6 linked regions of the Rattus norvegicus genome follow. The protein of the gene in region 4 interacts with the protein of the main gene of each other region in a pairwise test. Links are inferred from orthologs where the notes say so. Each region holds a gene or a part of one and is shown on either strand. Other genes may lie near its edges.

What was found.
Region 1: the proteins of Fars2 (region 4) and Krt40 interact in binary tests that used the Homo sapiens proteins (3 or more experiments, as listed by UniProt). The two-hybrid records come from large-scale screens. The link is inferred for Rattus norvegicus from reciprocal best matches to the Homo sapiens genes FARS2 and KRT40.
Region 2: the proteins of Fars2 (region 4) and Appl1 interact in binary tests that used the Homo sapiens proteins (3 or more experiments, as listed by UniProt). The two-hybrid records come from large-scale screens. The link is inferred for Rattus norvegicus from reciprocal best matches to the Homo sapiens genes FARS2 and APPL1.
Region 3: the proteins of Fars2 (region 4) and Rcbtb2 interact in binary tests that used the Homo sapiens proteins (3 or more experiments, as listed by UniProt). The two-hybrid records come from large-scale screens. The link is inferred for Rattus norvegicus from reciprocal best matches to the Homo sapiens genes FARS2 and RCBTB2.
Region 5: the proteins of Fars2 (region 4) and Mid2 interact in binary tests that used the Homo sapiens proteins (3 or more experiments, as listed by UniProt). The two-hybrid records come from large-scale screens. The link is inferred for Rattus norvegicus from reciprocal best matches to the Homo sapiens genes FARS2 and MID2.
Region 6: the proteins of Fars2 (region 4) and Agtrap interact in binary tests that used the Homo sapiens proteins (3 or more experiments, as listed by UniProt). The two-hybrid records come from large-scale screens. The link is inferred for Rattus norvegicus from reciprocal best matches to the Homo sapiens genes FARS2 and AGTRAP.

What each region holds. Positions count from the first base shown.
Region 1 is NC_086028.1:84,995,272-85,000,810, reverse strand, and holds the start of Krt40 (keratin, type I cytoskeletal 40), read left to right. Parts: upstream 1-1,912; coding exon 1,913-2,359; intron 2,360-3,697; coding exon 3,698-3,780; intron 3,781-4,086; coding exon 4,087-4,243; intron 4,244-5,142; coding exon 5,143-5,304; intron 5,305-5,379; coding exon 5,380-5,505; intron 5,506-5,539. UniProt on the Homo sapiens protein: May play a role in late hair differentiation.
Region 2 is NC_086034.1:2,152,242-2,157,282, reverse strand, and holds part of Appl1 (DCC-interacting protein 13-alpha), read left to right. Parts: intron 1-189; coding exon 190-248; intron 249-3,574; coding exon 3,575-3,721; intron 3,722-5,041. UniProt on the Homo sapiens protein: Multifunctional adapter protein that binds to various membrane receptors, nuclear factors and signaling proteins to regulate many processes, such as cell proliferation, immune response, endosomal trafficking and cell metabolism.
Region 3 is NC_086033.1:54,731,607-54,737,210, reverse strand, and holds the start of Rcbtb2 (RCC1 and BTB domain-containing protein 2), read right to left. Parts: upstream 3,227-5,604; 5' UTR 3,199-3,226; intron 2,548-3,198; exon of another isoform or gene 2,031-2,547; intron 1,007-2,030; exon of another isoform or gene 716-1,006; intron 1-715.
Region 4 is NC_086035.1:28,870,903-28,875,943, reverse strand, and holds part of Fars2 (phenylalanine--tRNA ligase, mitochondrial), read left to right. Parts: intron 1-2,043; 5' UTR 2,044-2,064; coding exon 2,065-2,676; intron 2,677-5,041. UniProt on the Homo sapiens protein: Is responsible for the charging of tRNA(Phe) with phenylalanine in mitochondrial translation.
Region 5 is NC_086039.1:109,239,452-109,243,319, forward strand, and holds the end of Mid2 (probable E3 ubiquitin-protein ligase MID2), read left to right. Parts: intron 1-1,094; coding exon 1,095-1,302; intron 1,303-1,860; coding exon 1,861-2,263; 3' UTR 2,264-2,522; downstream 2,523-3,868. UniProt on the Homo sapiens protein: E3 ubiquitin ligase that plays a role in microtubule stabilization. Mediates the 'Lys-48'-linked polyubiquitination of LRRK2 to drive its localization to microtubules and its proteasomal degradation in neurons.
Region 6 is NC_086023.1:163,798,622-163,804,422, reverse strand, and holds the start of Agtrap (type-1 angiotensin II receptor-associated protein), read left to right. Parts: upstream 1-2,248; 5' UTR 2,249-2,289; coding exon 2,290-2,316; intron 2,317-2,418; exon of another isoform or gene 2,419-2,553; intron 2,554-5,801. UniProt on the Homo sapiens protein: Appears to be a negative regulator of type-1 angiotensin II receptor-mediated signaling by regulating receptor internalization as well as mechanism of receptor desensitization such as phosphorylation.

The sequences.
Region 1 (5,539 bases), on a different chromosome or scaffold from region 4:
TTATAAAGAATTGGGAACTCATTCATTTGTCTGTATAGCATCACTAAGAGACAGTACATCTTTGTAGTTCTGCAGAGATCTGCTCAAAGGGTAGGCTAATGCCTAGTGATCATTATATATGTTTAATAATAACAAGAAAGCATATTGATAACAGAAATCTTTCCTCAAATGAATTTCTCCTAGGACTTGCCTACTGGAGCTCCACTGTAGATTTTAATCTAAGTCACACCCATCTCGGAAAGATCTCCTGCTAGTTTTTAGCTTCTCCTATGTTGGCTCCTGACAACACATGCCTTTTATCAAATCATTCAGGAGACAGATTCAGGTAGATTAATATGAGTCAGAAGCCAGCCTAGTCTACACAGTGAATTCCAAGTCAGCCAGAGTTATGTAGAGAAATCTGTCTCAAAAATGATAATAAGGAAATAAAAAGCAATCTAAGACACTCAACATTAATGTCTACTTTCCACATACATGCATATCCATGCATACACACACACACACACACACACACACACACACACATACACACGCACAGTGGACTTTTATTGATGCTGAAAGCAATTTTCTCTGTGTAATTTTTGAAAGTGAAATAAAAACCACAATTAAAATCAGACAACATGAAACTCCAGTTTATAGTTATAGTAGAGGTGAGATCCTAGAACCAATGTCCATCTAGTTCTGTACCAGAGGTTCTTAACTCAGTGAAACTGTTAGCTGAAACAGACATCACATAATCATATTCCCAACATCCAAATATTTTTCATTTTCATGAAATTGAGACTTTCCTAAATAAAAAAGAGGAGACAGACTCCATATTTTTTTAAAAGTAAGATTTTTGTGGCTTCCTTGGCTCTATTCCCAAGTATAATGGGTAAGGAGCTCCGTCACAGATTACAGCTAAACCCTCATTGCAATTTCTCTCTCTGCTCTCCTTAATATAGGTAAGGACTGGGACTATAGGTTGAGGTAAATCAATTATGTGCCATGAACAATACCTTATGATTGATCTCCAACTTCAAAGGAAGGAAGAAGGGAGGGAAGGACGGAAGGAAAAAGAAAGAAAGACTGCTTTTCAAAAACAGCATAACGCTTCTAAAATGTAAACATGAGAAAGCAAAGCTTGCGTGTCTGACTATCCACTCAGTGCACATCCAATCTCACCAACTAAGCAGGGTTAGGCATGCTTAGTGCTTGGCTACAGACCACAAATTCTAGATGACCAAAGATCGCAATTCAGATCTTGATAACCAATTCATAGTTTGACTCAATTATTCTCATCAGTCTATAAAATGAATGCACATAATTTGCACTCAGCATAGACCTTTTCCTGTACCATGTAAGCACATACTTCAAACTCACTAAAAAAAAGACACTTCAAGATTGAGATTGCTAACCGCCATTTTTACAGTGGTTGGTAGCACAAACAAATACAATTTAATAAGCTGTGATGTCCATTTGTAAAGTAGACAAGAGCAATCAATTTTCAAAATCAAACCCTGTTGGAATATTACTTTCTGTATCTCCAATGATCTCTACCTTTAATTACTGATGGCTCGATTTTTTTCTTTGGTTCCTTATTCATTCAAAAAGGTAGTGCTTCCTATGGCCGTTTGCTGAAATAAGAATTTTTATCCAAGCAGCATGTGGAAATGGCGTTAGTCCTGATTTAGTAACCTGAAGTTATCCTCCTTTTACGAGGCATACAACTTCCTCCGTAAATAATCAACACTAATGAGATGTTTGTAGGAAAGCTGGCATCTGCAAGGCTAGAGAAAACATCGGTGTGTCCTGTAAACACTCATTTGAAGGGAGATATAAAAGTCTCAGGAAGCCAAAAGTCCTAGACCTTTGGGAGACTAGGCGAGACCTAAGCAATACACCATTCAATCTGTTCATTCCTTCTCAGAAGATGGCTTCCGAAGGCTCCCCTGACTGCTGCTCTTCTGAGCCCTATGCAGGGGCATCGAGCTGCACAACTGCCTCATTCTGCCCCACCAGCACAACTTACCTTCCCAGCACCTGCGCCACATCCAGATGTCAAACCCCGAGCTTCCTCTGCAGGGCTCACCTCCCGGCCGGTTGCCTCTCACCGTGCTACTTGACTGGCGGTTGTAACAGTCCTTGCCTGGTGGGGAACTGTGCATGGTGTGAAGAAGGGACGTTCAACAGTAATGAGAAGGAGACCATGCAGTTCCTGAATGACAGATTGGCCAGCTACCTAGAGCGGGTGAGAAGCCTGGAAGAGAACAATGCAGAGCTGGAGTGCAGGATCCGAGAGCAATGTGAGCCCGATGCCACACCGGTCTGCCCGGATTATCAGCGGTACTTTGACACCATTGAAGAGCTACAACAAAAGGTTGGGTGTCTCACTGCCCTAATGTTTCCCAATGTTCTCTGTTTTCCAATTCTGTTTTCTCTCATAGCTGTACTAGGGCAGGTTGCTTTGTGGATGTAAAACAAAGGAAAGGGGGATTCCCAGAGTTAGTTCAAATAATCAATCTCATTCTCAGAGAATTATTGGGTGACTATAGAAATGTCACCTTGCTGTAGACTTTGTCTACACTGTGAAGGAAATTGAGTTATGACGTCTTCTAAACCCCATTCTTCATGTATCATTGCGTGTTTATATTCTTTATCAAACAGATATTGAATGCCATCCATTTGAGTTCTGGAAATCGTTCTCTATTTGTGTGTATGTGTGCAAAATGTGGGGTTGGTGGGCGACGTGATATATGATCGTGTGGGGAGGGAACACATGCCTGAGTGTGGGTAAGGAGGTCTGGGGTCCATGGCAAGTACCTTGCGTTCCTCGCCTTGTTTTTGAGACAGAGTCTCTTCTTGAAACTGGAACTCACTGATTTAGCTGCAGTCCCTGAGGCCTGGCCAGGGAGCCCCAGGGATCTTACTGTTTCCACCTCCTTAGTACCAGGGGTTAACCGACACTGAGTATTATACTTACCTTTTTCACATGAGCTCTGTGAGATTGAACCCAGATCTTCCTACTCGTGTTTCAAACCCTTGACCAACAAAGCCACTTCTCCTTTTTTAATTGATGGATTTCTGTGACCACAGAGATGCAATTCTAACAAACACTAGCAGTGTGGGAAACTTCAACAAAGCTCAAAAGCCAGTGATGGTGACAAAATGCCCTGCATCACTGATAAAGGAAACCTTGAACCCCAGAGACGGCTCAGCAGTGATTAACAACATTGTACTGCTCATGAGCACCTGAGTTCAGTTCCTACCATCCAAGTGTGGCAGCTCACAAGCACCTAAAACTTCTCACCTTCTTCTCACTGCACAAGGCTACACTCTTACCAACATACAGACACACTCAAATGTGTACACTCTCATGTGCATACACATACTCTTAAATATACACGCTCACCTGCACATACACACACACACACACACACACACACACACACACACACACCTACACATACTAAGAAAGAAAAGGTGAAATCCTTCATTTTAGGAAGGGAAGGTCTTTTGCTTCTGTATTTTGTTTCTCAATTGGCACTGAATGTTTTTTTATTCTGTGAAGTGGCACAGTTAATAGGAATCATGGGTTGGAAGAGACATTATGTTAACTTGGAAAGACTTTCATAAACTAATGAGTGGCAAGGCTGTTAAAATAGATATGTGGATTTCTTCTAAAGAGCTCCTCACTAAATGATGACTTACCTCTTAGATATTGTGCACGAAGGCAGAGAATTCTAGACTTGCCGTGCAGGTGGACAACTGCAAACTGGCTGCCGATGATTTTAGGTCAAAGTAAGTCAAATTATGTTTATTTTGTTAAGCCACAGTGTGCTTTGTGTATGCAATTTACACGTTAAATTTTAAATTTAATTATAAAATAATAATTAACAATAATTAATGTCTTCCAGTAAGAGAGAAAATATTTTCTGCATAATATATATTTTTAACTGAGAATGTTTGAACCCTGAACTCACCTTCATTTGGAATGTAAGGAAAATTGAGGCGTGTGACTCTCTGGAGGCCATGTGTCATCCAACCCTGCATCCCAGTACTCTGAGCCAATTAAGCCACTTCCCTCCCTTTCTCCTACTCTGAAAGGTATGAGAGCGAACTGTCCCTGCGCCAGCTGGTAGAGAATGACATCAGTGGTCTTCGTGGGATCCTGGGTGAACTGACCCTGTGCAAGTCAGATCTGGAGGCCCATGTGGAGTCTCTGAAAGATGATCTACTTTGCCTTAAGAAAGACCATGAAGAGGTGAGTGGAGTGGCCGCTGGGCCAAAGACTATAGGAGGAGTTCTGTTGAGAAATCTCATGTGTATAAATTGAACAGGGACAGACACTGCCTATACTGGAACAAAACTAGAGACATTCTCACTGTGTAGCATGATTGCCCCAGTGTCTCTCAAGGTAGATGTGATGTACAGCATGCATCATTAACATAACCCTCATCAGTGGCACGGAGGTGAGGTCACTCTTTTTCCTGCCATTGCTTGGGTTGAGAAGTAACTCAACTCATGGTTTTTTCCATAGCTCTATTGTATAACAAGGAAATTGAGCTGATAAAACTGACTGTGTATCCCCTTCCAAAAAAGGGATAAACAATCACACAATACTTGGAATCATGTTTGTAGGTATTGTGTGTTTATAATTTGATTCTGTCATAAGCTATTAAAATGAGAAGCAGATTGATGTAACAAAGAAAAAATTTACTCTTTGAATATTTTGATGGTAACAATAGCTGGCAAGTGTGGATACCTTAGCTGGTAACAATAGTTGGCAATTATGGATACCTGAGCGTGTGTCATTAATTTTATAGATTTACTGTGTGTGTAGTAGTGTGTAGTAACTCTTCCCTGTCTCACAATAATCCTCTGGGAAAGGGTACAAAATTACACCTGTTTTGCAGACAAATAGCTGAAACATTTGGACCTAATAGAAAGAGTATAAGGGAAAATGACTCAGCAATTAAGAGTGCTGTTTGCTCTTCCAGAGGACCCAAGTTCAGCTTCCTGTACCCATGTCAGGGAGCTCACAACTGCCCATAACCCCAGCTCCATGTGGCATACAGACACACATAAATGTAAATTTTAAAAATCTTTCTTAAACAGAAGTAAACCCCACTCTGACATTCCTTACTCCATTTCCATTCTCAGGAGGTCAACTTGCTTCGTGAGCAGCTTGGAGATCGACTCAATGTGGAGCTGGACACTGCCCCCACTGTGGACCTCAACAAGGTCCTGGATGAGATGCGGTGTCAATATGAGAGGGTGCTGGCCAACAACCGCAGGGATGCGGAGGAGTGGTTCGCTGCTCAGGTCAGTGCCCTTGGGAAAGGGAAGACTTCGGGGAGGATGCCTTGCCTGAGCTCTCTAACAGGGCCTTTGTTTCAGACAGAAGAGCTGAACCAGCAGCAGATGTCCAGTGCAGAGCAGCTGCAGGGCTGCCAGACTGAGATGCTGGAGTTGAAGCGTACAGCCAACACTCTGGAAATTGAGCTCCAGGCACAGCAAACCCTGGTGCGTGGGATGAACAGTGCTAACCTTTGTCAGC
Region 2 (5,041 bases), on a different chromosome or scaffold from region 4:
TAGATTCTAGTTTCTTTGGAAGTTAGTGTTTTCCATCAGTTTATACATAGTCACAGAATCAAGGGAAAGTAGGCTCTGGGGGAAGTTTGAACATAGTGATCGTGTGGCAGAGAATTCTTACCTAGCTCTAGGATAGGTGTAGTCTTGCCAAGTACTACTGTACTGCTAACACTCATTTCTGTTTTCCAGATCATGATGCCGCAATTAATAGGTACAGCCGGTTGTCAAAAAAGAGAGAAAATGACAAGGTATGTTTATATACTCTTAAGAACATTTTATAAGTATTTTTAGTATGGATAGGTGTTTTGCCTGCATGTATATCTGTGTACTGTGTATATTTACCAGAAAAAGCAAGGAGAGAGAGTCAGATCCCTTGGACCTGGAGTTATAGATGATTGTGAGCCAACTTATGTAGGTGCTAGGATTGAACCTGGATCCCCTGGGAAAGCTGTGAGTGCTCTTAACTGCTGAGCCGTTACTGCTCTAGCCTACATGCACTCTGTCAATATCAAAGGTGACGACCATTTTATTAGGTTATTTAGTTTTTCCTATTGAAAAATAGAGCCAACAAACCATTGTCATGGTATTACTCTCATAATTTTTCCTAGATGTTCAAATCATTTCTGGTAATTGGTCTCTTTAAACAAAATGCTTCTCTTCTGCCAATAGTTGATAGTATAATTAAACATAACTATTTTAAAAGGATGACTGGTTCCCAATATATAAAACTGGTTTTTGTTTTGTATTTTGATGCTACAGTAAATACATACAGTGAAGTGAACAGGACAGGCTTATTGGAGGTTTAGGGAGGAAAGGGAGGACGAATGCTGCAATTATAATCTCAGATAGAAAAGGAGATAAAGTTCAGTTTTGTATTTAGTTGTATGGAAGTGTGAATATGAGTGTTTAAATAGGTATTCATGGTAACACTCTATGCTGGAAATTCATTAAAAATCTTGAATAAAACAAGTGAAAGTAAGTCACATACATATTTCAGTTAATGTCACACATGGAACTCAATGAAATTCTGGTATAAGGCTTTCTCTATTTAAAGGGAACGTTTATATCTTGATATTTTTTCAAAGAATGAAACCCAGAAGTACTACATAATATTTGAGGATGAATGCATTTAAAGATCAAAGAAGAGAATATTTACAAGTTCTGGGTGATTGAAGTCCTGAGTTACAGCTTATACCAATGCTTGCAAATGCGGTGACCTCTTCAGGACTTGGTATTTGCAGCCGTAGTCACAGCTGCTGGTAGAGACACAGTGACTACTTACGGAAGTGGACAGCTCAGTAGGATCTACTGTGTAGGAGCCGCTGTGGCAACAAAGGAAATGATTCTCACACAGTGAGTGATCACTCCTCTAAGCTGCTTTCCATTTCTTCTTTTTTTTTTAAAGAATTATTTATTTATTTAATGTCTATGAGTACACTGTAGCTGTCTTCAGACTCACCAGAAGAGGGCATCAGAACCCATTACAGATGGTTGTGAGCCACCATGTGGTTGCTAGGAATTGAACTCAGGACCTCTGGAAGAGCAGGCAGTGCTCTTTACCGCTGAGCCATCTCTCCAGCCCTGCTTTCCATTTCTAATTCTAGTTCCCAAGTTAACCAATAAACGTACACAATTTGAGATTTATAGTAGTCATTTTGCCTTAGAGAGGTACTTAAAGGTCTAGGTTATAAAATTTGGTATATTTATATTGCTTTTGGCTATTCCAAGTATTTTAAAAAGAATTAATGTTTTTTTGAATTAGAAAAATTACTGAGCATCTATTTATCAGGCAGTATGCTGAGTTCCTCAGGGAACAGTGTGAGTAGGGACCACTCCGGCTCTCCTATTCATTGCACGCTTAGTGTGAATGCGTTCCGGAGTACAAGGAGGAAGAGACTGCAGTGACATGACTTAGATGCACTAATAAAGATTTTTCTAGACAGTACAGATCGAGCCTGAGGAGGTTGCATGTGCAATGTAGTTAAGTAGACAACACTTTGGGGATTGAAAAGGACTTTTTGTTAAAAAAGCCCCAAACTGAACAGCAAAAATCCCCCAAACCAAAACGGTCTCTCTGTAGAGGCATGCTCTGGAGTTTGAACACTGTGAAGGTTTAGAGTACTGGCTATGGAGTGAGATTTGGGGGACGTATCTGAGGCCTGCTCTTCCTTTATTTGAAGCCATGCACTAGTTACTTGGTTCCATGCCTTTCTTCTCTGTGCAGAAGAGGGACCCACAGAGCAGCAGTCGTGATGGTGAAATTAGGCAGTGAATGCAGAGCAGCAGTTTTCACTGAGTTCTATCATTACTTGACAACAGGAGGTGATCACCTCTCAGTTCTCAGGATGGGTTTGGGGAGAGGTTGACAAAGTCGTTGGGGGCTGGGTGGTATGGCTCTCACCTGTGATCCTAGCTCTTGGGAGGCAAGGGATCCCTGAAACTTTGAGGCCACCCTGGAGTTCAAGGTTAACTTGGGTACAGAATGAGACACTATCTTAAAACAGACCAACAATCCCATTTGTCAAAACCTAACAAGGAATAGTTTGGAGCCAGATTGCTGCATTTACCACCTTGAAATTTTGTTAAAGGAAGTGAATAGTCAGGGAAGGATTCTAGGTAGGTAAATAGTGCCATGCAGTTAGTTATGTTGTATAACCAAAGCAATAATAACAGCATGAAAGGGAGAGTGCTAGAGTGATACCAGTGGGATATGAGACTTCCTTGCACAGTCACAAAGAAGATTGTTATAAAAGAATGCTTTGGAGACTTGTTCTTTATCTCTCACTAGGACCTTGTTAATGGTAGGCAAGCACTGAGACTCACTTCCTAGCCCTGCTTTGGAAGAGAGAAGTCCTATAGTAGGAGGTGAGATCCACATTGACATTTCCTAGAGAGAGGAAAGAACAATAAGGAAGGACAGCTGCTGTAAGGAAGAAGCTATTTTCAGTCTATGCATTCTCAGTGTACATAAACACTCATTCTTATATACAAAAGAACCCAGCCTTCCTTTCTCTGGCACTTGGGACAGGGACTGCCAGAGAGGAGGTACAGATTCACACCACCAGGCCAGTGTGCACTGATAATGTCGAAACTTGATAGGTATTCCAAGTAGAGAAGGAAAAGAGCCTACCTAATACATAGTAGGCTCTATAAATGCTCAAAGAAAAGTCGTTTGGGTGAAATAACTTGGGAGCATATGTATTTTAAGTGTGAGTCAAGAAAAATAAGCAGGTAGAGAAAAAGAGTGGTAAGGAGAAAACCAGGAGGGGAGAATTTGTGCTGTGAGCTGATTCAGATCAGACATCGCTGGCTAAATAGTAACCCATATGGTGACTCTGTCCTGTTAGTGCAGATGCCTACATTTATAGTTGCATGCAGATATGTGTTTTGTAAGTGATATGGTTGGTATACAGAAAAATGACTTGACCTGGTATGTTAATGGGTTTCCAATCGAGTAGAAAACAGGAAGGCTATGTTCAGTAATTATTGATTCTCCATTTTCCTTGAAAGACTCTTCTCCACTCTACTGGAGATAATTCAAAATTAAATAATATTTTATTCTTTTCATTCAAAGGTAAAGTATGAAGTAACAGAGGATGTGTATACTTCCAGGAAAAAGCAACACCAGACCATGATGCATTATTTTTGTGCACTAAATACTCTTCAGTACAAGAAGAAAATAGCTTTGTTAGAACCTCTGCTTGGATACATGCAGGCTCAGGTAAATATGTTTTGGATTATATCTGTCCTAAAAGCCTTGTATTAAGTTTGATTTTTGTATTAACTATAGGGCTATAATAAACTGTTGTCAACAGTTTTGTATTGTGGTTTTACTTTATTTTTTTTAAAGATTTATTTACTTATTTTATGTGAGTACACTGTCACTGTCTTTAGACACACCAGAAGAGAGAATTGGATCCATTACAGATGGTTATGAGCCACCATGTGGTTGCTGGGAATTGAACTCAGGACCTCTGGAAGAGCAGTCGGTGCTCTTAACCACTGCGCCATCCCTCCAGCCCCTGTATTGTGGTTTTAAAAAGTAATTTTAAAGACTGTCATGAGTGTCTTATTTTAAGAAGATTGGGCGAATGTTTTTTCTTGCAAATGAAGATATAAAATGTTTTAAATAAATGGAAGTACATTGTAGTAAGACTTTTCCCACCTCAGTTGGAGACAGAGAGCAGAAAGCTAGAGGAATTAATAACTGGAGCTTTTTTTCATTAGAAACCTGAGAAAGAATGAACAAGTTTGAATCGGACATGGTGGTGGACAGCTTTAATCCCAGCACTTGGGAGGCAGAGGATCTCTTGAATTCAAGGCCAGCCTGGTCTACAAAGAGAGTTAGTTCTAGAATAGCCAGGGCTACACAGAGAAACCATTTGGAAAAACAAACAAACAAACAAACAAACAAACAAACGGATAAAGAATGAGTAGGTTTGCATCTGTCCCATGTTCCTCACATACTTCCTGAGTCAGAAATAGTAGTTGAAGGGATGGAGAGATGTGTAAGAGCACCGATTGCTTTTCTAGAGGACCCACATTCAATTTCCAGTGTCTACATGGTGGGGGATCTGACCTCTAAGGGCATGTGTCACATACATGATGAACAGACATACACACATGCAAAACATCCATGTGCATAAAATATTCAAATGCCCAACAAAGTATACATTAGGAAAGAGGCTAGAAAATTGAGTTTTGGGGAATATATTAGTTCTTTAAAAACCAAGAAATTTGAATATCCTTTTAAGCATAAGAGTACCTTTTTTTTTTTTCTTTTTTTGTAAAAAACTAGTCATGGTAGTCTGAGGTTAGGGAAATATTTGAGGTCACCCTGGATTACAAGTGAGACTTAATGTCAAATACAACAGCAGACGGCCTAAATGTGAAAGGATATATAGTAGGATTGAATCCTGGTTTCCTTAGCGACTCTGTGTCTGTAGACATTGTAAACCTCAACCTGTTATTTTACAGATCAAACAACCCACTGTCATTTCTGTGTAATTCTACCCTAGGAATTGTTGGTGTGATTTTTCTC
Region 3 (5,604 bases), on a different chromosome or scaffold from region 4:
ATGGCAATAGGGTTTTTTTTAACAAGATGCTTTTATACCTAGCAAGCTGCTGGGTGCAATGGGGTGTATAACCAGGTGGGCAGAACTATGAAGGAGCAGTGGGAAAGCCAGTGCACTCTCAAAGGAAGTGCCACCCAGTGTGTACGGAAAGGGGTGCGCTCACTGTGACATATAACTGCTGTTGTGTAACTGGTTTCCAAATTTCGAGGTGAGGCTTGGGGTAATTCAGCCTACAGCAATGCTGTAAGAAGTCTCCAGATTACTGAGCTCAACGCTGATAACAAAATATCACCTTCAAGTGGGAAAATGTTTTATGTTGCTACATGAATGACATGAGCTGACACAGAGAGCCATGTGTAAGTCCATTTGAGATTTAATTTCTTATACATCCAATGCTTAAATAGGTATTAACAGATGTGGTAACCATTATCCTATTAAAGACCTTGGCTCTACAACATAATTCTTGAACACAGTGGATCCTCTTGACCTCCACTTGTTTCCTCTTAGGCGTCCTTTTGTATACACTTGGCACAATATAGAAAACACTGACGTTTAGCTATCATTCACTAGCACTTGGTAGCCCAAAAATGTATTGGGGGTGGGGAGAACAATGCATATTAGCTCAGGTTAGACTAGCAAAATGAAGATATTAAAAGCACACACTTCAGTGTCAGGTCGATGTTTAATAATCCATTGTACTTTCAATTTCCTTCAGTTCATGTTTTCAGAATGAGGTCACCGCGTGAAAGAGACACGTATTCCTTCCAGAGAAGGAAAGCTAGAAGGATCATGTTAGCATCCCATGACAGACATTATGAATGGCCTTTACAGATGGGCGGCTGATGTGCTTAGGGGCCATTCCCACAAGGACCTGCTTGTTTTTAGCCCTGGACAAAGGCTTTAATGCCTCTCTGCCATCCGGATAACCCTTTTCCCCATCTCCCTTTCCTGAACAATTTTGATTTGTAATCATGTCAAATAAACTTTGAAAATAGCAATACGTAGTAGGCATTTTAATTTCACTTCAGATCTGTTAAAACAGAAACTAATTATGACGATGATCTCCAATGGACAAAGGGGAATTAAGAGTTCCCTGCAGCTATACTCTAGTCGTCTCTTAATGCTTGACCATGGAGTGTCTGTGATTTACTTCATTTTACTGAAAGACCTCAAGGGAACCACACCTTATATCCCTCTCCAGCCATGTCCTCTATGGTCAAGAGCCAAGCTGTCTAAGTTTGTCTGGCTCATACAAACCTCCTCAAGAAATCACTGGAATCATGGCATGGCATCACACTAGTCATCTTCATGACTTAATGTCAGGGGACATTGAGAAGCAACTGCAAGGTACAGTAAGCCAGAGTGTTGCAGGACCCAACCCCATATCAACAGTACACTCTGTGAATGCAAGTCATTTACAGAAACTGTAATGTGCACATAGCCAGCTGCCAGCCACCCCCACCACCCCACCACCACCCCCCGTGTACTTTCAGCCAGCCCTGGAAGTAATACCCAATGTAAATGCTGTGCAAGTGGTTGCTATCTCTCCAGGCTTGGTGCCTGCACTCTCAGTACGGAAGAAGCTGAAGCAGGAGACTCTTGAATTCCAGGCCAACCTGGGCTTCCCTAATACATTGTTCAGGCCGGTCTGAGCTAGTGACGTACAGGTCTTATAAGAATAAAAAATAATTTTAAAACGTTGATATATTTTATTGTTAATGATAATACCCCTCCCCAAACTTCTGTATGTTCAGTAAAGGTTCTTCCTTAATATTTCCAATTCAAGATTTGTTGAATCCATGGTTGCAGAATATAAGAATGAGAAGTCCTTTCAGGAGGAAATACTTCAATGCTGTCCTGAGGCCTACAGTACTGCCACTGTGACAGATGTCATTGCTCTTCAAAGTGTTTAGGTAAGAGTTGAAAGTATCAGGAGTTTTCGGTTTAACTCATAACCCCGTGACTAAAAAAGCACAGAGGTAAAGGCATTGTTAGGACACTCTCCACAGTAGCCCTGGTAACTGACTTACCTAGATGCCATTGCCCAGTAAGGTGACCAGACTTTACTAGGAAGGTGCAAATAGATCGGACTCAATGACCGTTAAACAGTGACTGTCACACGAATGCACTAAAGAACCAAGTTCCACAGGACCCGATCTCTTTTATTCCGCTTTAATAGACATTAAGTCGCCAAAACCGTTCTGTCCGGATGGAAGCTATTCTAAAGGGAAACACGTTTGCCTCTCCCTTCAGGTGTCAGGCTTTGGACTCCAAGGAATTGTAACTGTGGCTGGGACAGGATGGGTCATTGACAGGCCGGACTACACCTGGGACAGGCCAACTCTGCACATGTATTCCTCGTTCACTATTTAAACCCAAACTTCAAGTTAAGTCCTCTAAGCGGTTCTGGGTCACCGAACCTCTCTTTGTTCCCTTTTCCAACGTGGCCACATTTATTAAATCTCTGGCTTTCGCTACAATCTCGCCAAGTGGCCCGATGTGGCCAAGCTTAGTTCGGGCAGCCAGGGCAACTTTGTGTCCTTTGTTACAGTCCGAGCTAAAGCTTTACCTTGTAAAGAAAGGCAAAAGGTCGGCTGTAAACCTATCTTCAACTCAGGCGGAAGTCCCATCTCCGCCAAGAAGGGGCACTGGGAAAGTTTTTCACCTCTAAACCCCTCCACTTCCGGCCTAGGCTGAGCCCAAAGGACAGGAAAATCTTAGGAAGGCCAGGCCTTTCCCGCCATCCCTCCACTTGGGGACCAAAGGCCTAAAGCGTATGCGGCCATTGAGTCAGCGAGCGGCTCCAGGCGGGAAAGAGCGGAAAGACCTGGAAACGGCGCCGCTAGCCCGCGCCTTGTGCTTGGAAGGGATGGAGACACCGGGGGCAGGGGCCCCCAAGCTGGAAGCGGGAACCCTACAGCCGTTGCCTCGGGGCGACGCAAAAACGGACCCCAGGCTTGGCCTGCGCGCATGCGCAACGCTACGCCGTCCCAGGGCCCAGGAAGGGACGTGAACCCAGAACCACAGCAGGGACCTCGCCCACGAGCTCGCGCGTGCGCGCCGGGCCCTGGCTCGGGTGGGTTGGCGCTGAGCCCTGCCCCCGCAGCGGCTGCGCACCGGGCCGGGCGCAGGGTGAGGCCTCCGCCTGGCCTTCGCCCCCAGGGCCCTCCCGCGCCTGCCGCCCACACGCAGGCTTACCTCCGCGCCGCGTCCTCTCCGCTCCGGGCAGCCGGGACTGCTCGCCCAGGGCCAAGAACAGCCGATACTTGGCGCCTCCCCCTAAAGTGGCCGGGCTCGGCAGGCTGAGCTCGAGTTCAGCGGTGCGGGGCGGAGGGGACCGCGGGAGCGGGAAGAGAAACCAGGGGAGGGGAGGAGGACAAAGAGAAGGGAGGGGGCTGCGCGCTGCGCCCCTCCTCCCTCCTCTACCCAGACCAGCAACTCTGGGGATCCTGTGCAGTACCCAGCTTTCTAGTTTAGTGCTCAGATTTCGGGGAACCTATACCTACCTAGTTTTAGGTCTTAATTCAAAAGCAATGGTTTTCCTGCTTGCTGCGAAATAAGAGGACAATTACATTCTGCGCGCGCTAGTCCAGTCTTACCAACTCCATCCAGGAGGCCCACCTCATTGTCTGTTGTTTGAGGGCTCAGAGAGAAGTCCAGTTTAAAAATGAAGGATATTCTGTCACCTGGGACGATATGGAATGAACCTGGAGGATGTTAAGCAAAGTAGGCACACAGCACAAGTACTTACGGATCTTATTTAAGGAGCACTGAAAAAAGTCAAGTCGCGAGTAGAGAGGTGGTTACTGGGACTAGGGAAAGGGAGCCTGTGGGGCTAGTGATCAAATTTCAGTTAGGAGGAGCAAGCTCAGAAAGAGAGCTGCTGAGCTACACAGTGGCTACCTTTATGAACACTGCACACTAGAAATTGCTAAGAGAATAGATAATGACATGGTTTTGGAACAGGGTCTCTGTAATAGCCCAAGCTAGCCTCAAACACCATAGCCTCCCTCCCTCCTTCTTCCTACTTGATTTTGCCTTCACAGTGTATACATATATCAAAACACTGTGCACTAATTTTTTTTCGGTTGAAATCTTAAAAGAATACTTATTTTCTTGACATCAGTTTTTTGTTTTTTTATATATATAATTTTTTGACATCAGTTTTTATAGTACATGATCTCAGTTTAGGGGAAGACAATGGAGATTTGGATAATTTGCTTCGGGTCATACGGTTAGAGGTGACTCAATCTATCTCTCCATTCCACAGGGCCTCTTTTCCCTCTTGACCATGTGGGAATAACTAAGAAAGGTGGATCAGATAATAAAGTGTAACTGCAAGCTGGGTCCCGAGATCCACAAAGGGCATTTTGGAAGAGGCAGGCATGATCCTTTGTCTTGAGTAAGCTCACAGTCTGGAGGCTGAAAGTTCAGCCTAGGCTAAACACCAACAGTCTGTGAACTTAGTGTAATGACAGGCCAGGCTTAAAGGGAAGAGAAAATGAAATTAGGACTAGATGTGGAAGGTCAGAAAGAAACTGTGAAATTGGCGTGCCATGTCATAGTCTATGGGCCCAAACCTTTGCCTTTAAAATGGAGCATTTGACTGTTTAATATCTCACGAAGCACGCTGATAACACAGCCTGACAAGATGACATATTTTTTAATCTTAAATAAGATACTATCAAATTGGATCCAACAACAAACACTATGACCAATACAGGGATTATTTCAGTGGTATAAATATGTTACAATGGTAAGAAAGTTACTCTCGTAAGTAGGTCAAAGAAGTAGGCAAGTTCAGATTGAATAAAGCGATAAAGAATTCAACGGTCATTTTGATCAAAGAAACGTTTAGTAAGTGGCTTCAGTCATGCAATAATAAACCTCTAAAGGGTGTATCTAAGAAGTACAGGGATACAGTTGCTACTTCCCCGTAGTACCGACGGATAATGACGTGGACCATGAGACCTGAAATTGAAGCCGATGCCTTAGGTGATGCAATTAGACACACAGCTCCTTTTCAAAACGTTGAGACCAAATAACTAAAACTGACCTTGAACTCTTGGTACCAACCAATACCTCAGCCTCTCTAGGGCTGCGATTGTGGGCTCGCACCACCGTGGTTGACCCCTTTTCAGTTTTTGATGAGTTAAATTCCAAGGCATTTGTGGATGTCTGTCCTAGAAGGCAGTTGCTTGCCACTTGGTAAACCACACCTTACTTGTCCTCACACTGTGGAAAGGCTAACCCTGTCCTGATGTAGCTAAAGGGGGAGGGAGCTCCTCGGAGTCTCATCCCTTCCCCATGACTTAAGCACATCCGACAGGCCCACTCTGTAATTGGCTTACGTGAATAAGAAAGGACAGCACCATTGGCATCACACACTCAGGAAATAACATATATTTATCCTATAAATATAGAGAATATTTGATTAAAGCATGGCGGATCAAAAGCCACATCTTTTCCTATCAAGTTTAGGAAAAGGTAAAAAATGTATTAGAATAATTAGCCAGGAAAATAAAATTGAGATTCATTCAACGGTCAGTACTGTGCAACCCACCTTGTCTTATTAGCATTTTCTTTTCCCCACCACTGTGTTAT
Region 4 (5,041 bases):
ATATTTTAAAGTATCTCAAAATGAAAGTCCTAAATTCAAAAGATTTGAGTGACTTAAGTTTAAGAACTTAAATTATTTCTGAATTTTCAACTTTGGTCTTCTTTGTTACTATGGTCCCTGAAGGAGTTGAAAACTGCTTTTGTTGAAGTAAGGAATAAACAATGTTAGTAGATCATAGTCTTTCTTCTAACAGCCACAGAATTTTGGCATCTACTTCTGGATATTTATCAGTTTACCTGAGAGGTCAGTGACCTATCCCACATGAGTGCTGAGGTGGGTCTTAACTGAAATTCTACTGTTTTACTAAGTTATATGCATTTTCTTTCTCCTCTTCTCACTCACCCCTACTTGCCCTGTTCTCCCAGGTCTTCCTCTGTCTTCTGTTCCTTCCTCTGTCCTTCTGTGCCTTGTGTTCCTTTTCCAGAAAATTCTGTCCATCTGTCCTATGTTGGACTTATTGTATGAATGTGTTTCTGTAGAAAATTTGTCTTTTAGGATGACAAACAGTCATTGATAGAGTGATGCAATGGATTTTTTATTAAATGCCATGACCAATAAGAGTGGAGAAGACTTACATTCATAAATACAATTTCTGCCCTCCCTTGGCATAGTCTGTTACTTAGTATAAAGTTGTATTAAGTTTCTTTTCATTTTTAAAAATCCCTAAATGAAACTCTACTATCTAAAGTAGTAATTTTAATCAGAACATCTGTATATATGTGTTGTTGTTGTGTACATGTATACATTTGGCTACATGTGTACAGATGTGTGGATGTATGTGAAAGCCAGGGGTCCACACTGAAGTCTTCCTCAGACACTTTCACCTTGTTTTTGAGACAAGGCCTCTCACACTCTCCACCTTATTGTTTAAGACAGGGTCTTTCATTGAACTTGTAACTCATCAATTCAGCTATGCTGGCTCCCCATGAGCTTGTGACTCAACACTGGTTTTACAGATGCTTGTGGATGTCCCCCCCTTTGCTCCGTGGGCACTGGGGACCCAAATGTGGGCTCTCGTGTCTGCCTGGCAGGTACTTTAGCAACTGAGCTATCTCCTAAGATCCTATTTAAAATGTTGTTTTGAAGTTATGCATTTTGGAGGTCTGCTTAGCTAGACTCGGATAACTTTTAGGTGATCCTTCAGAGATTATTTTGGTGTTAGAATGCAGTGAAAATAAAGGAAGTTGGCACATTCAGTGTGTTCTCCTTCCCGAGGAAATTGACAGGGCAGCATGATGATACTTTTTTTTTTTTTCCTACAGAGGAAAGAATTTAAATTACAGGAGAAGAATACCTAGAGATCAGAGATAAACACCTTTACTATTCTGATTTAGAGTAGTAAGCACTAAGACTGTCTTAGTTGTGGTTTATTTTAATTAATTAAGATTTAATTCTTTAAGTAATTAATTAATTAGTGAATTACAATTTGAGGCAGGGTCTTACTGTATAGCCTTGACCCACCTGGAGCTTGCTGTGCCAAGCCATGCTGGCCTCAAACTCACAGAGATCCACCTGCTTTAGCTCCTGAGTGCAGGGCTTAAAGGTGTGTCCTACATGCCTGAGTTGTAGTTTATTGTTTCTTTAACCTAATTCCACAGACTGAGTAATTTACAATAAAAAGAAGCTCCTTTCTCACAACTTTGGATTTTGGAGGTCAAAACTTAAGGCACCAGTGCGAGGCCAGACCATCTCATGGATCATCTTGTGGTAAAAGCAAGAGCACAAAGTTTGTGCTTATCCTTGTACAGGAGCCCACTCCACTCTTATCAGCTCAGTCTTGTATTCTACATGCAGAGTCCCTGATGCTTTGCACCTTTTAGTACTGTTAGACGACAGTGAAATTTAGATAAAGTCTGGAGAGGACATTCAAGTTACAGCAGCCTTGACAATAGATTTTCTCCGTTGGTCTTCCTGTGGTATGCAGGTGGTGACAGAGAAGTAAATATGCCACTAGGGACATCATGAGCCTGTTCAGAGAACTGAAGGACACACTTGTCTACAGGATGAAACTTGACTGGTGTTTTCCTTGTGTGCTCTTTCCAGAGTTTGTGAGAAGCTTCTATAATGGTCTGTTTGGCCTTCATCAGAGCTGCCCATGAGCACCTCTACCTGGTGAGGAAAGTCAGTCATGTCTGCAGATGTCATCAACATCGGGCTTGGGGCTCAAGGCCAGCTGCATCGCAGTTTGCTGTCCAAGGTGCTCCAGGCCGTGTGCTGGAGCTGCTTGGTAAATCCTACCCTCAAGATGACCACACTAACCTCACCCAGAAAGTCCTTTCCAAGGTGGGCAGGAACCTGCACAACCAGAAGTTCCACCCTCTGTGGCTGATTAAGGAGCGGGTGAAGGAGCACTTCTACCAGCAGTACATGGGGCGATCCAGGACACCTCTGTTCTCCGTCTATGACCAGCTTTCCCCAGTGGTCACCACCTGGCAGAACTTCGATAGCCTGCTAATCCCAGCTGACCACCCCAGCAGGAAGAAGGGGGACAACTATTACTTGAATCGGGGACACATGCTGAGAGCACACACATCAGCACATCAGTGGGACTTGCTGCATGCGGGGCTCAATGCCTTCCTCGTGGTAGGTGATGTGTATCGGCGTGACCAGATTGATTCCCAGCACTACCCAGTTTTCCACCAGCTGGAGGGCGTCCGACTCTTCTCCAAGCATGAGGTGAGTCTTTAGATGAGTCTCATTGATGAAGGGCATTTGTGTTGCTGTAATAAGACTGATTCTGAGCGAAACAAGGAGAGTGACCTTGGTCTTCATTTGCCTTAGTGACTGCTCTGTTTTTCATGTCTATGTGAACCTTGACCTCCCAGGCCACAGTGTATGTGAGGGATTTGTGCAAATGGTGGACTTTAAAACAAGGTTTTCTTTTTTACTTGTCTTTTCTTGTCCCCTTTTCTCTGTACTAACCTGCTTTATACTGGTTTACGTCTCATAGATGGATAGTAGTTCTAATTCAGCCTTAATCCAGGCTGAGCGAAGGCAGTGGTCTGACACCTGCACTCTGGGTATTCTGTTTGTATTAGTGGAACATAGTGCTGGCCGCCCGCAGCTGGAGAGCAGGGCTGAGGGTGACAAGCAGTGCATTGGGTTGGACCATCAGCTGCGTTCTTGTCCTGAGCTCCTCTTGCCTGGCATTGAGGAGGGAGGGGTCTTACTTGTTAGTGTTAATTGGGTTTGGATGCATATTGACCTTTTGGGTGGAAGTTTGATGTTTAGGCCATCCTCAGAAGTTTTCAACTTCATACATCTATGCCATGCTATCCTAGTATACTGGCTAATATTTACTTTTCACTGCAAAGTTTGAAAGCCCCACAAAGCTTGAGTCCACTTACTAAAAAATAATCATAACGAGTATGGCAGCTCCAGCCTGTAACTCATCACTTCCGAGGCAGAGGCAGGAATGAGGCTGCAAGGTCAGCGCTACCCTGGGCTACGTAGTGAGACCCTGTCTTAGAATAAAAAAAAAAAAAAAAAAGAAAAGAATAATTAAAATTGTAGCAATACTTTTCCTTCTTTCTGATATGTTAGAGACTGTTGCATCTTTTCTTGTAAGAAACAAGAATTTTAGTAAGTTCAAGTATCTCGTATGTCTGTAGCGACTCCTTCCAAACATTGTTCAAAGGAAAGGAGAGTTACTATGGTTACAAAACCCCATCTTGCAAACACAGCATAATGGGCTATTAATGTGAAAATAAATGCATAGGTTCCTTAGACTAAGACAAACAGTTTTTGTTCTAGTAAATAAGTTATTTAGCAGGAAACGACTGAAGGGTGCTATCCTCTCCTTTTCTTCCTATCTGCTTCAGAATAATGTTACTCTTTACATCTGTGACATTGTTACATAGGTAAGCCTTTCTCAAAATTGGTTCAGAGCTGCATCTGGGGAGTACAGTTGGCCATTCCTAGTCCTTGGGAAGCTCGTTATGTTCTAAGGTAGACGTGATAACTGTTAGAAAGGATATAGAAGTGGGGAACTATGAGGAACTTAAAGAGACAAGTCAGAGTCTAGAATATGACAAAGTAATAGAACACCACTTCCGGTTCACCTGTGAGAGGAGCAGTGGTAACAGCGATGTTAACAGTGTCTTAAAGCAATGAAGAACATGTTAATATGTGAGACTGCATGTCAATGTCATGGTAGAGAAGAGGCAGCGGTGGCTGAGTAACTCACAGTGACATTTTATTTTATTTTATTTTATTTTATTTTATTTTTTTGGAGCTGGGGACTGAATCCAGGGCCTTGCTAGGCAAGCGTTCTATCACTGAACTAAATCCCCAACCCCAACAGTGACATTTTAATGAGAGAAATTGAGGCTACAATAGGAAGTTAGCAATAAAAAGTACACATGGAAGTAATCCTGCCTTGGTGCATATTTGTTGTAATTCACTTCAGCTTTCCAGGCACCATGTGTAGCTCATTGTCTTAGTCAGGGTTTCTGTTCTTGTTTAAACATCACAAACAAGAAGCAAGTTGGGGAGGAAAGGGTTTATTCAGCTTACACTTTCCACATTGCCAAAGGAAGTCAGGACTGGAACTTCAGCAGGTCAGGAAGCAGGAGCTGATGCAGAGGTCATGGAGGGATGTTACTTACTGGATTGCTTCCCCTGGCTTGCTCAGCTTGCTCTCTTATAGAACCCAGGACCACCAGCCCAGGGACGGCACCACCCACAATGGGCTTGGGCCCTCCCCCTTTGACCACTAATTGATAAAATGCCTTACAGCTGGATCTCATGGAGGCATTTCCTCAACTGCGGCTCCTTTTCTCTGTGATAACTCTAGCTTGTGTCAAATTGACACACAAAAACAGCCAGTGTACTCACCTAGTCTGATGCTGTGACTGCTTTCAGATTCATTATTTAATAAATTGTGTACCTACAGATATATGAAAGTGTCTTCTTTTCATGTTGCAACGTGCTTCCATTTCAATGCTTCATTTATTCTTCTTAATTCAACCTTATAAGTTAGGTTATCCCACTTCAGCACGGAGACTTTGAGATCTGGAAAGGCCTAGCTACTTGCTCAGGA
Region 5 (3,868 bases), on a different chromosome or scaffold from region 4:
AAGCTTGGAGCTCTGTCTTTGTGCATCAGTTCACCCACAAGGCCAGAAGATGGCCAGTGCAACCTCTGATGTCATATTTCCCTTCAAAGTAGGAAGAAGAGAAAACGTTGGTAAGCCTTTAATCAAGGAAACAGGAGCTTAATCAGAATTTTCTTCCACTCTGCTTGACTTCAGTTTCCTTTTTATTAGTCATCCCAAGCATCGAGGGAGGCTGGCAGAGTGAGAGAGAGAGAGAGAGAAGAAGTAAGGAATGGATGCTGTATAAACACACAGTGTCTATCACAGAGGCATACTGTACACTAAACCTCTTTCAATACCCAGCACTTGGGGTCACAGGACAGTGTTTTTGTCATATGGTTATAAAGGTCTCTGTAGTAAAGCACATGCTATCTTTCATCATTGATGATGGAGCAGCCACTCAAACAAAGTCGCCTAATTATATGCGCACTCCAGTTTCAAAGAAGCAAACATCTGTTGCTGAGTTGGTTTTATTTTTTTTTTTGTTTTTTGTTTTTGTTTCCTTTTTCTTTTGTGAGCAATTGCCTCATTAACACAAAGACTATCCTACCTCAAACATTGCAACACTCCTTTAAAAAATTTCCCTATATCCCAACCCACTCATGGAAGTAAGACATTCTTTTACTTTTTTTAGGCTAACCATTTAAACTAGGTCCCAAAATGACTCAGAAGAAGGTGCAGACCTCCAATGATGGATTGATGGAGGATGGGCGCTCTCTGCAGCTCTCACATTTGAGGATGTGAGACTTGGAGTGGTCCCTTTTAATATCATAATATATGATGGGAACACTTTCTCCTCCGTGCTTGGAATATGACTTCCAGCAAAATGAGATACCCACGTTTTTTCACAGAGGGAAAATAATGCATGAAGGTTATCTTTTGGGAGGATGACTTCTCTTCTTAGTTGCCAGTTGACACTCTTGCCTGCTTTCCTAATATAGTTCAAAGTGCAGCCAACCTACATCATCATATTGGGGGTCCCCTGCTAATGATGGTCCTGGAGGGGAAAGACACAGTTCGTAAATGTTTCATCATAGTTTCCCTTCCCTTCTTCTTTTACTTTTTTTTTCTTTCAGGCCAACCATTTAAACTAGATCCCAAAATGACTCACAAGAAGTTGAAGATCTCCAATGATGGATTGCAGATGGAGAAGGACGAGAGCTCTCTGAAGAAGAGCCACACTCCGGAGAGATTTAGTGGCACGGGGTGTTATGGGGCAGCAGGAAATATATTCATTGACAGTGGCTGCCACTACTGGGAGGTGGTCATGGGTTCTTCAACATGGTGAGTGGGATTTTTTTCTTTCTTTCTCTCATCTTCTCTGCTTTTAGGTTCTTAGGAGATTCAGTTGTAGAGCACAACTAAGATACTAAAAAGTCACGGTTAAGAGATCTTTGATAAGGGCTGGAGAGATGGCTCAGCGGTTAAGAGCACCCAACTACTCTTCCAGAGGTCTTGAGTTCAATTCCCAGCAACCACATGGTGGCTCACAACCATCTGTAAAGAGATCCGATGCCCTCTTCTGGTGTATCTGAAGACAGCTACAGTGTACTTATATATAAATGAATAAATAAAAAAAGAGATCTTTGATAAGAATTAGTCCTAGAAAGTCTTGCCAGTTTTTAAAAGATAAAATTTTGGAAAATCTACTGGGCTAGGAGATAGGAAATTCTGTATCACTCTAATTACTGGCTTTACAAACTCCGATTACATTAGCATTCTGTATGCAAGTATAAATGTTTTAAGGAAGGAGCATGTAGTGAGTCACTCCTAGACCCTAAGCAATGTCTAGCACACCTCCAATCGTTCATAAATGTTTTTCTGGCTTCTCCACTGTCTCAGGTATGCAATCGGTATTGCCTACAAATCAGCTCCAAAGAACGAGTGGATTGGCAAGAATGCCTCTTCCTGGGTCTTCTCTCGATGCAACAGTCACTTCGTGGTGCGACATAACAACAAGGAAATGCTGGTGGATGTGCCCCCACAGTTGAAGCGTCTAGGCGTCCTCTTGGATTATGACAACAACATGCTGTCTTTCTATGACCCAGCTAACTCTCTCCATCTTCATACTTTTGATGTTACCTTCATTCTTCCAGTTTGTCCAACATTCACAATCTGGAACAAATCCCTAATGATCCTGTCTGGCTTGCCTGCCCCAGATTTTATTGATTATCCTGAGCGGCAGGAATGCAACTGCAGGCCTCAAGAATCCCCGTATGTGTCGGGGATGAAAGCTTGTCATTAAGTGTCAAGAGAGCATGTAAGTCGCTGGCTCTCCGGTTCAGCACTTCTGCCCTTCTCAAGCCTCCATTAGTGCTCCATATATGAGATACAAACTAAAGTTCGTTGGGAGCACCCAAAATAACTAGATATTGTAGACTTAATTTTTGTGCATTGAAACTTATGTTTGAATTCATGTATTGAGTTACTCAGAACAAATTAATCTGAATGGTCTGGGTTCATGCCACCAGGGAAGAATTTTAGAGAATATCTCTGGCGTCATTGGAAAATTTAAAATTCCCAGTGATTTGGGAGTATAAATGATACTGTTAGGAATTAGCCTTTCTAGCAATGGCTAGTGTGGCCAGGTAGAATTTGCACAGTGTCAAATTATCACTTATTGTATGTCACTTTTTAATAAACTAATGATTGAGGTGTTTTGGGAACATCATACATGTGCATATATAATATATAAAATGGCTGAATTCGTTTTATGAGCAAAATGACAGATAATTTTATCTATTACATATACACAATAAACCTTAATTTGTGCATTTATATAAGAAATATATGGAAAAGGAAAATAAATCATAGTGTCCACTCCTAACCCCTAGGTGAAACATCACGGTTAGCCAGCATTTCTCTCTCCTTCCCTTCAAGCCTTTCTTACCTCCCTCTTGTCTCACATGCACACACATGCAATCGAGACACAGGAAGTGAGAAGAGCTCTTGGTTAGATGAGGAGAGATCTGGGGATATGATTGTACAGGAGATGCTAATGCTACATAGAAAATCGATTCTGGTAGAAGGGTCTTGTGTAGCATAATTTCGTTGATATTAATGGAGGAGATTCATTTGAATTGTTAAAAATGTCATAGAATATTTCAAAGAAATATAGTTTTGTTATTCTCAAATACAAAGTTACTAGAGTTAGGCTTAAGAATAGAGTTACATAATGGACTTTCTTCAGAACTCGCCTTACTTGAGCAGTAAGAATGGAGTGTTACAGGTTCAATACCTATATGCATACAAATGTACTTATCTTTTCAGACGAAGCACTCCCGAAATGCTGTTTTCCTCAAGAGGTTCAATACTCATTAGTTTTGGAATTTTGTTTATACTCTTCATTCCCTTGCATTCCCTCCGTGACAAATAAAAACATAAATTCCATCCTACTTTTCATCACAGAAATTGAGCTTCACAGTCTGTGATTTCACCAGTTCTGTTTGCAGAGATTAATTAGAAATGCCAGAGAAATAGAGCCTTCTTCCAGGAGTCAAATCTACTCCTTGGTACTTGTAAAATGATTACTACTGTGTAATTGTTAAGTGCTAGCAGTGGCCATTCCCTGGATTGTATGTAGCCTTGATACAGTGTCAAACGTTAGCCCCTCGTTCTACTAGCATGGAGGATTCTTATTTGTTAATTTGTTCAATGATGCCACGTTACTGCTGATAGAATGCACATATTAGTAAAATGAAGTCGTTGCTGTCAAATGTCTCACTCTTAATGCACAAGAGACGACATATCTCTGTGAGTCCCACCTAACGAACCTTCCGGATTGTTTGCTTACCTACCACAAAAAGCAAGGCCTGTGCCAATACAAAAGGAAGACTCAGATTTACACGCC
Region 6 (5,801 bases), on a different chromosome or scaffold from region 4:
TGCTCAGAATGGCAGAAAGAAGGAGAGACCTTGGCTCAAAAATAAGTTGGTCCTCCTCTTACTTCCCTGTAGGGGCATGGCATGCAGACTTACATATCAACATAAACTAAATAAACATGACTAAGATATAAACATTCGAGGATGTGTTGCTGTCCATTTGTGGAAATACCTTGCCAATGTGTATAACGTTTATGTCAGTTAAATAAACTTTTATAACAAATCATAATCAGACCCATGTAAAGGCACGTGCCTCTGATCCCAGCCCTGAGGAGGATACAGCAGGGGCCCTCTCAAGTTCAGTGCCAGCCTGGACTATGCAGAATTATTCTGCCTAGAAACAAAAACAGAATAGTTGGTCCATTACAATGGTACACTTGTCATGGCTTTCCTTCTGGGTTGAGGGTTGTGCTTTAAAAGGGGTAGTAAACTAGGCCTCCGCCCACCCCAAACTCTCTTCCTCTACCTAGAAAGAAAACCCTATCTGGGGATCTGTGGTCTGGATGTCATCATGTGTCCACTCAGACGGTTTCATAGGTTCCCATGTGCCTTCTATTCTGGAGACCAGAACAAGTTGCAGTTGTGCCCTGAGAGGACTCACACCCAAGAGCCCGGGCAGGGCAGTTTCCTCCTCCTGAGAGCGCTCACAAGGGAGACTGTCTGCTAACTGTCCAGACCAAATGCTCTCCAGCTTTTGCTATGCTGAGCAAGTGGACGTCAAGTGGCTGGCTCCTGGTATATTGACAGTACAAAAGTTCGTGAGCAGGCTGGAGAGATGGCTCAATGGTTAAGAGTGCTGACTGCAACTTCCAGAGGTACTGAGTTCAAATCCCAGAAGCCTCATGGTGGCTCATAACCACCTGTAATGGGATCTGATGCCCTCTTCTGGTGTGTCTGAAGATGGCTACAGTGTACTCATTAAAATAAATGTATCTTAAAAAAAAAAGAAAGAAAGAAAAGAGCTTGTATGCATGGGCCGCTTACACAAGGCACAGCTCTGATCGCTTGGAACCTTACTTAGGCTATGATGATATTGTCCCTTGTCTGTGCTGTGGTAAATAGATGCTATAACACTGGGCCCTGACCCCCTCTCTTTTGGACAAGGTCTCGCTCGGTTGCCCAGGCTGGCTTTGAACTGCTGGGCTCCACAGTTGTCCGGCCTCTGCTTTCCTCATGATGGAGGCTGTTCAGTTGTCAGCTGGAAAGCCTTTTCCTTGACTTGGGGTCCTGTCTTCCTTTCCTTTCCCAGGCTTCAGGACCCTGGATGGAAGGAGAGAACCATCCACACTCTCACCTCCACACTCATAGTAGGACATGCATCCACCTAAACAGATAAAGAAGAAATAAACATGGTCTCATTTTATAAAGCCAAGCAGGCTTTGATCTCGTGGTATTGCCTTGCCTCGACTTCCCAAAGACTCCTATTTACAGGCTTGGCTCGATGTACCTCTTTTTTTTTTTAATTTTTTTTTTTTTTTGCTGTACCTCCTTTTTACCTTTCTTTCTTTCCTTCTTTTTTTAAATGAATTTTATGAAATTCTCTCGAAATCCAATAAGCTTGAAGCAAAACTTTAACACAGTAAGAACTAATCTTCAATTTCTTTTGTATTTATTTATCTTATGTATATAAATGTCTCACCCGCCTGTATGTGCGTGAGGCCGTGTGTCTGGCGCCTGCGGAGGACAAAAGAGTGTGGTCGGATCACATGTACATGTACACCGGGTGGGTGCTGGGGACTGAACCCAGGTCTTCTGAAAGAGTAACAAGTGCTCTTAATCACGGAATCACCTCTCCAGCCCTCGCTTTTTTCCTTTATGGACATAAATTAATTCACCGACCCTCACGAAGATGATGAGGTAGGAACTGTACTAATTCTTGTGCAAGGGAAGGAAGAGAGGAGAGAGGGTGTCCTGGGCAGACACCAACTGTTATCACACCAGCAGTTTCTGCCTGGTTGCCCCCAGGCTCTTATGGCTGCGGGAGGTCCCACCACCTCGCCCCGATCCCAAGTAGGCAGCCGGTTGAGCCCTAGTCTGTAGAAATCCCGTCCTTCTGCTTGAAGCACAGCAGCTGGTAGAGGCCTAGGCAGTAGCAGGAGCCTGAGCCTTGCAGCAAGGGCAAGCTGCTAGACGCCGTCTCCTAGCAACCGACTGCAGTCACGTGGCCGCGCGGATTGGCCTCACGCCGTTGGAACTGGCGCAACGCGACGGGCGGGGCCAGGAAGTTTGTTCCCGAGTTCGGAGCCCAGGAGTCCCCGTGGCCGTCGCTCAGGTGCCCTCCGCCGGGTCGGGATGGAGCTGCCTGCCGTGAACTTGAAGGTGGCCGCGCGGCCGGGTCGGGCGGGGGTCCAGGAACCTGGGGAACGGAGTCGGAGCCGAGGGGAAGGCGCAGAGCCCCGGGGAGGAGGCGGCGGACACCGAGAGGGACACCTGGGGACAGAGACGGACAGGGCCGCCCCTCCCGGATGGACCCAGGCTGGCACGGGTCCCGGACCGTCCGGGCCAGCGCTCCTGGTGTCCCCCACAGCAGGACAGGGACACCTCTCCTCCTGAGAGGTCAGTGCAGTCCGGGTGGACCCCTCTGGGTGCTGGCTGAAGTTAGGAGAAACTCGGTGTTCCCAAACAATTGCTTCTCCCTAATTTCCGCATGCAGCGTCTTTATTTCATAATTAAGAAGCAGGAACTGTAGAGGTTTCCTAAAAGCAAAAAACCCCAGAGGCTGTGCTGGGCTCCGGGTAGCAGGGCTGCCTACGATGTCTTCATTTCCTAAGTTCTTTTTCTCTCTCAGCCCTCCTCGTTTGCAACAGAGGTGCTGGCCACTTAGCTTTGGCAAGAGCGGTGTGAACCTGGAAGTAAACCGGCCATCTTGGTTTCTTGGCGCAAGTTTCTTGAAACCCTAAACCTTCTCTCAGGTGTTAAACCACTAAGCACCCTTTGGTGTCTGAGACGAAAGGGACAGAAGATATAGGTGGCATTGGAGCAGCTGAGTGATTGATTGCACGCGGGCTGGGCTGTGACTTGCTCTGGCCGGTTTCCCATTCCTAAGCTGCTGGCTAAGCAGCTGGAGGGAGATTGGAGTAAAGGAATGGGTTTGAGTGGATCCGTTTTCTAGGGACAGATTTATGGGCTACTGCAGGTCTGGGAGGCAGCCTTAGGGGTCAGGCTCTGCCTTATTCTGCTTGAGCCTACCCTCCAATAAGTATGAGGACAGCATGAGTCTCTATGGTAGAACATTTGAGTAGCCCACACCAGGACTGGGGTTCCATCCCAGTACCACACACTAACAAATAATACTAAAACAGAAGCAGGTGGGAAAAGAGCTGGTGTTTATGGGCTGATATGTCTTATTCATTTGAGTTAGGGTCTCGTGTGGTACTGGCTAGCCTCAAACTTATTATGCAGCTGAGGATGGCCTCAAACTTCTGGTCCTCCTGCCTCCACCTCTCCAGTGCCAGGATTGCACGGTACTGGCAATAAAACCCAGGGCTTCTTGCTGGATAAGGAAGCACTACCAACCAAGCCATATCCCCAGCCTGTGTTGCTTTTATTCATCTCAGTCCTACACTGAGAACACTGAAACTGCATTCTGTTGTTTTTGTTTGGGGGGGGGTCTTGCTATCTAGCTCTGGCTGGCCTAGAACTCGCTATATACATCAGGCTGTCTTTGAATTGACAAGAGATCCTCTCGATTTTGCCTCCCGAGAGTGCTGGGATTAAAGGCACGCAGCACCACGCCTAGCCAGAGGAGCTATGCTCTTTCATCGGAGTGCAAACTTCAGCTTAGATCATCCAAGTAATAGCAGGTGCAATCGGGATTCGAACCCCCGAAGACCTAGCTCCCGTGCTTTGCATTTCGTGGTTATCAGTTGCTTAGGGCTAACTTTTGGTTTTCGTCGGCCTACATCAACATTTAGAACCTGATAGGCACAGTGTATCCACCACAAATGTGAGCTAGCAGGCAATGCAAAGACCAGGCCCCTAGGACTTGATTGACAAGCTCTGTGGATCTTGGCAGGGGCCAGTCAGAAGCAGGTCAGCACCGGGGGGGTTGTGAAGTAGCAGGTAGGAAGGACTTTCAGTCACTTTTGGGCTTTGCGCTGATGACAGCGTTTTACTGTATGTCTCGGTATTGGGGACACGCTGAATTACTCACAAGCTGAAATTCAGAATGAGCCCGAGAGCTCTGTTGTGTTGCCTGCAAGATCTGCAAGAACCCCATGGAAGGCAGCTGGGACACCATGGCTGCCCGCCTCAGTCCACCCTCAGCCTTTTAAAAAGGATGCCCTGCTCTGCTCAGCACTTGGCCTGGGCTCTGTGAAAGAAGTGGGTCCCTGACTAGGCCTCACCTACCCATGCTTCTCTTTTTTTTTTGGTTCTTTTTTTCGGAGCTGGGGACCTGGGGACCGAACCCAGGGCCTTGCGCTTCCTAGGTAAGCGCTCTACCACTGAGCTAAATCCCCAGCCCTGTACCCATACTTCTCTTAAGCAGAAGCTTGTAGCAGCTCAGGTTGGAGGAGCCTTGTGAAGTCCTGGGAGGAGCAGTGGGGGCAGGGAGGAGGCAGCAATGAGGCCTGCTGTGTAGAGTGTCCTCCACACTGTCCTCCAGAGCCCAGGAGTCCCTGCTGTGCTGAAGAGCAGGTGGCAGTTTATGTCAGACTTGCCCAGGTTCGTGTGGGGAGCTAGGATCCATTCCATGGTTTGCCTCCAAAGTCTGTCAGATGACCAGGGCAGGACCTGCCTCTCTCCTGGGCTACCTGAGTAGCCCTTAAACTTAGCTGTCCTGGGGGCATCCTATCTTGTCTAATAGGTCACCAAATGTTTTCACAGGACACACTGGGATGTATTAAGTTGAGGTCAGGGACATCCCCAACCCCTCCTCCTTTGGGACTGGTAAACAAAGACTTGCTTTGTTTTCTCCTGGTAGGGTACCACATCCCAGGCAAGTTTTCTACCACCGAGCCATAGTCCATAGCCCGGAACAAAGGGTTAATTAATACTCAGGGCCCTTAGACTTCTGCTGACCCACCCTTTTCCAAGTTAAATTTCACTTCCCTCTGCCCTGCCTTTGACCTTAAAGATCCCGACTGGACAGAGTGCTGGTTTCGGGTGAGGTTTTAAGACCACAGAGTTAGTTATCTGTGTGACATTGAGGTTTCTTGACTTCTCCGCTGTGTCTTCTAGGGTGATGAGGGGCTTAAAAACCCAGACCAGATGTCGGGAAGTGGCAGTGTGTGAAGAGAGACAGGGATCTCTGTGAATTTGAAGCCAGCCTGGTCTAACAGAGGGAGTTCTAGGACAGTCGGGGCTGCACAGAGAAACTGTGTCTCAAAAGACTGAGACACGGGGGTTCGGGGGGGGGGCAAGAAAACAGCCCTCAGGCCAGGAAATGGGTTTACCTTTGCAAACCCCTGAAACAAAGCCAGCCAGCCAGAAAGCCCAGAACAGGGCGGTTGATCAATGTGCATCTGAGCTGTTGTTTGGCTTTCTGACTGGACCTGGTGTGCTGAGCCTCTGTTCTACTCCAGGTTGCCCTGGAGGCAGTGTAGGTAGAAGGTTCCGTGGAATAGGGCTTTGACAGAATTACTGCAGAGAATGAGGTGGACCATCGTAGGGGACCAAGGGTGACAAGAACTGAAGCCCCTGCTTCCCCTGAAGCCAAGGTTCCCTTTCCATAGATGCTCCCTGAGTGATACACACGATCTCCACCACACAGAGAGGGGCCTGCATTTCCTGTCCAGCACTGCCCTGGCCTGTTGATCTTGTTTGGGAAAGAGAGTTCCGGGCTCTGGCTCTGCTCCCTTCCA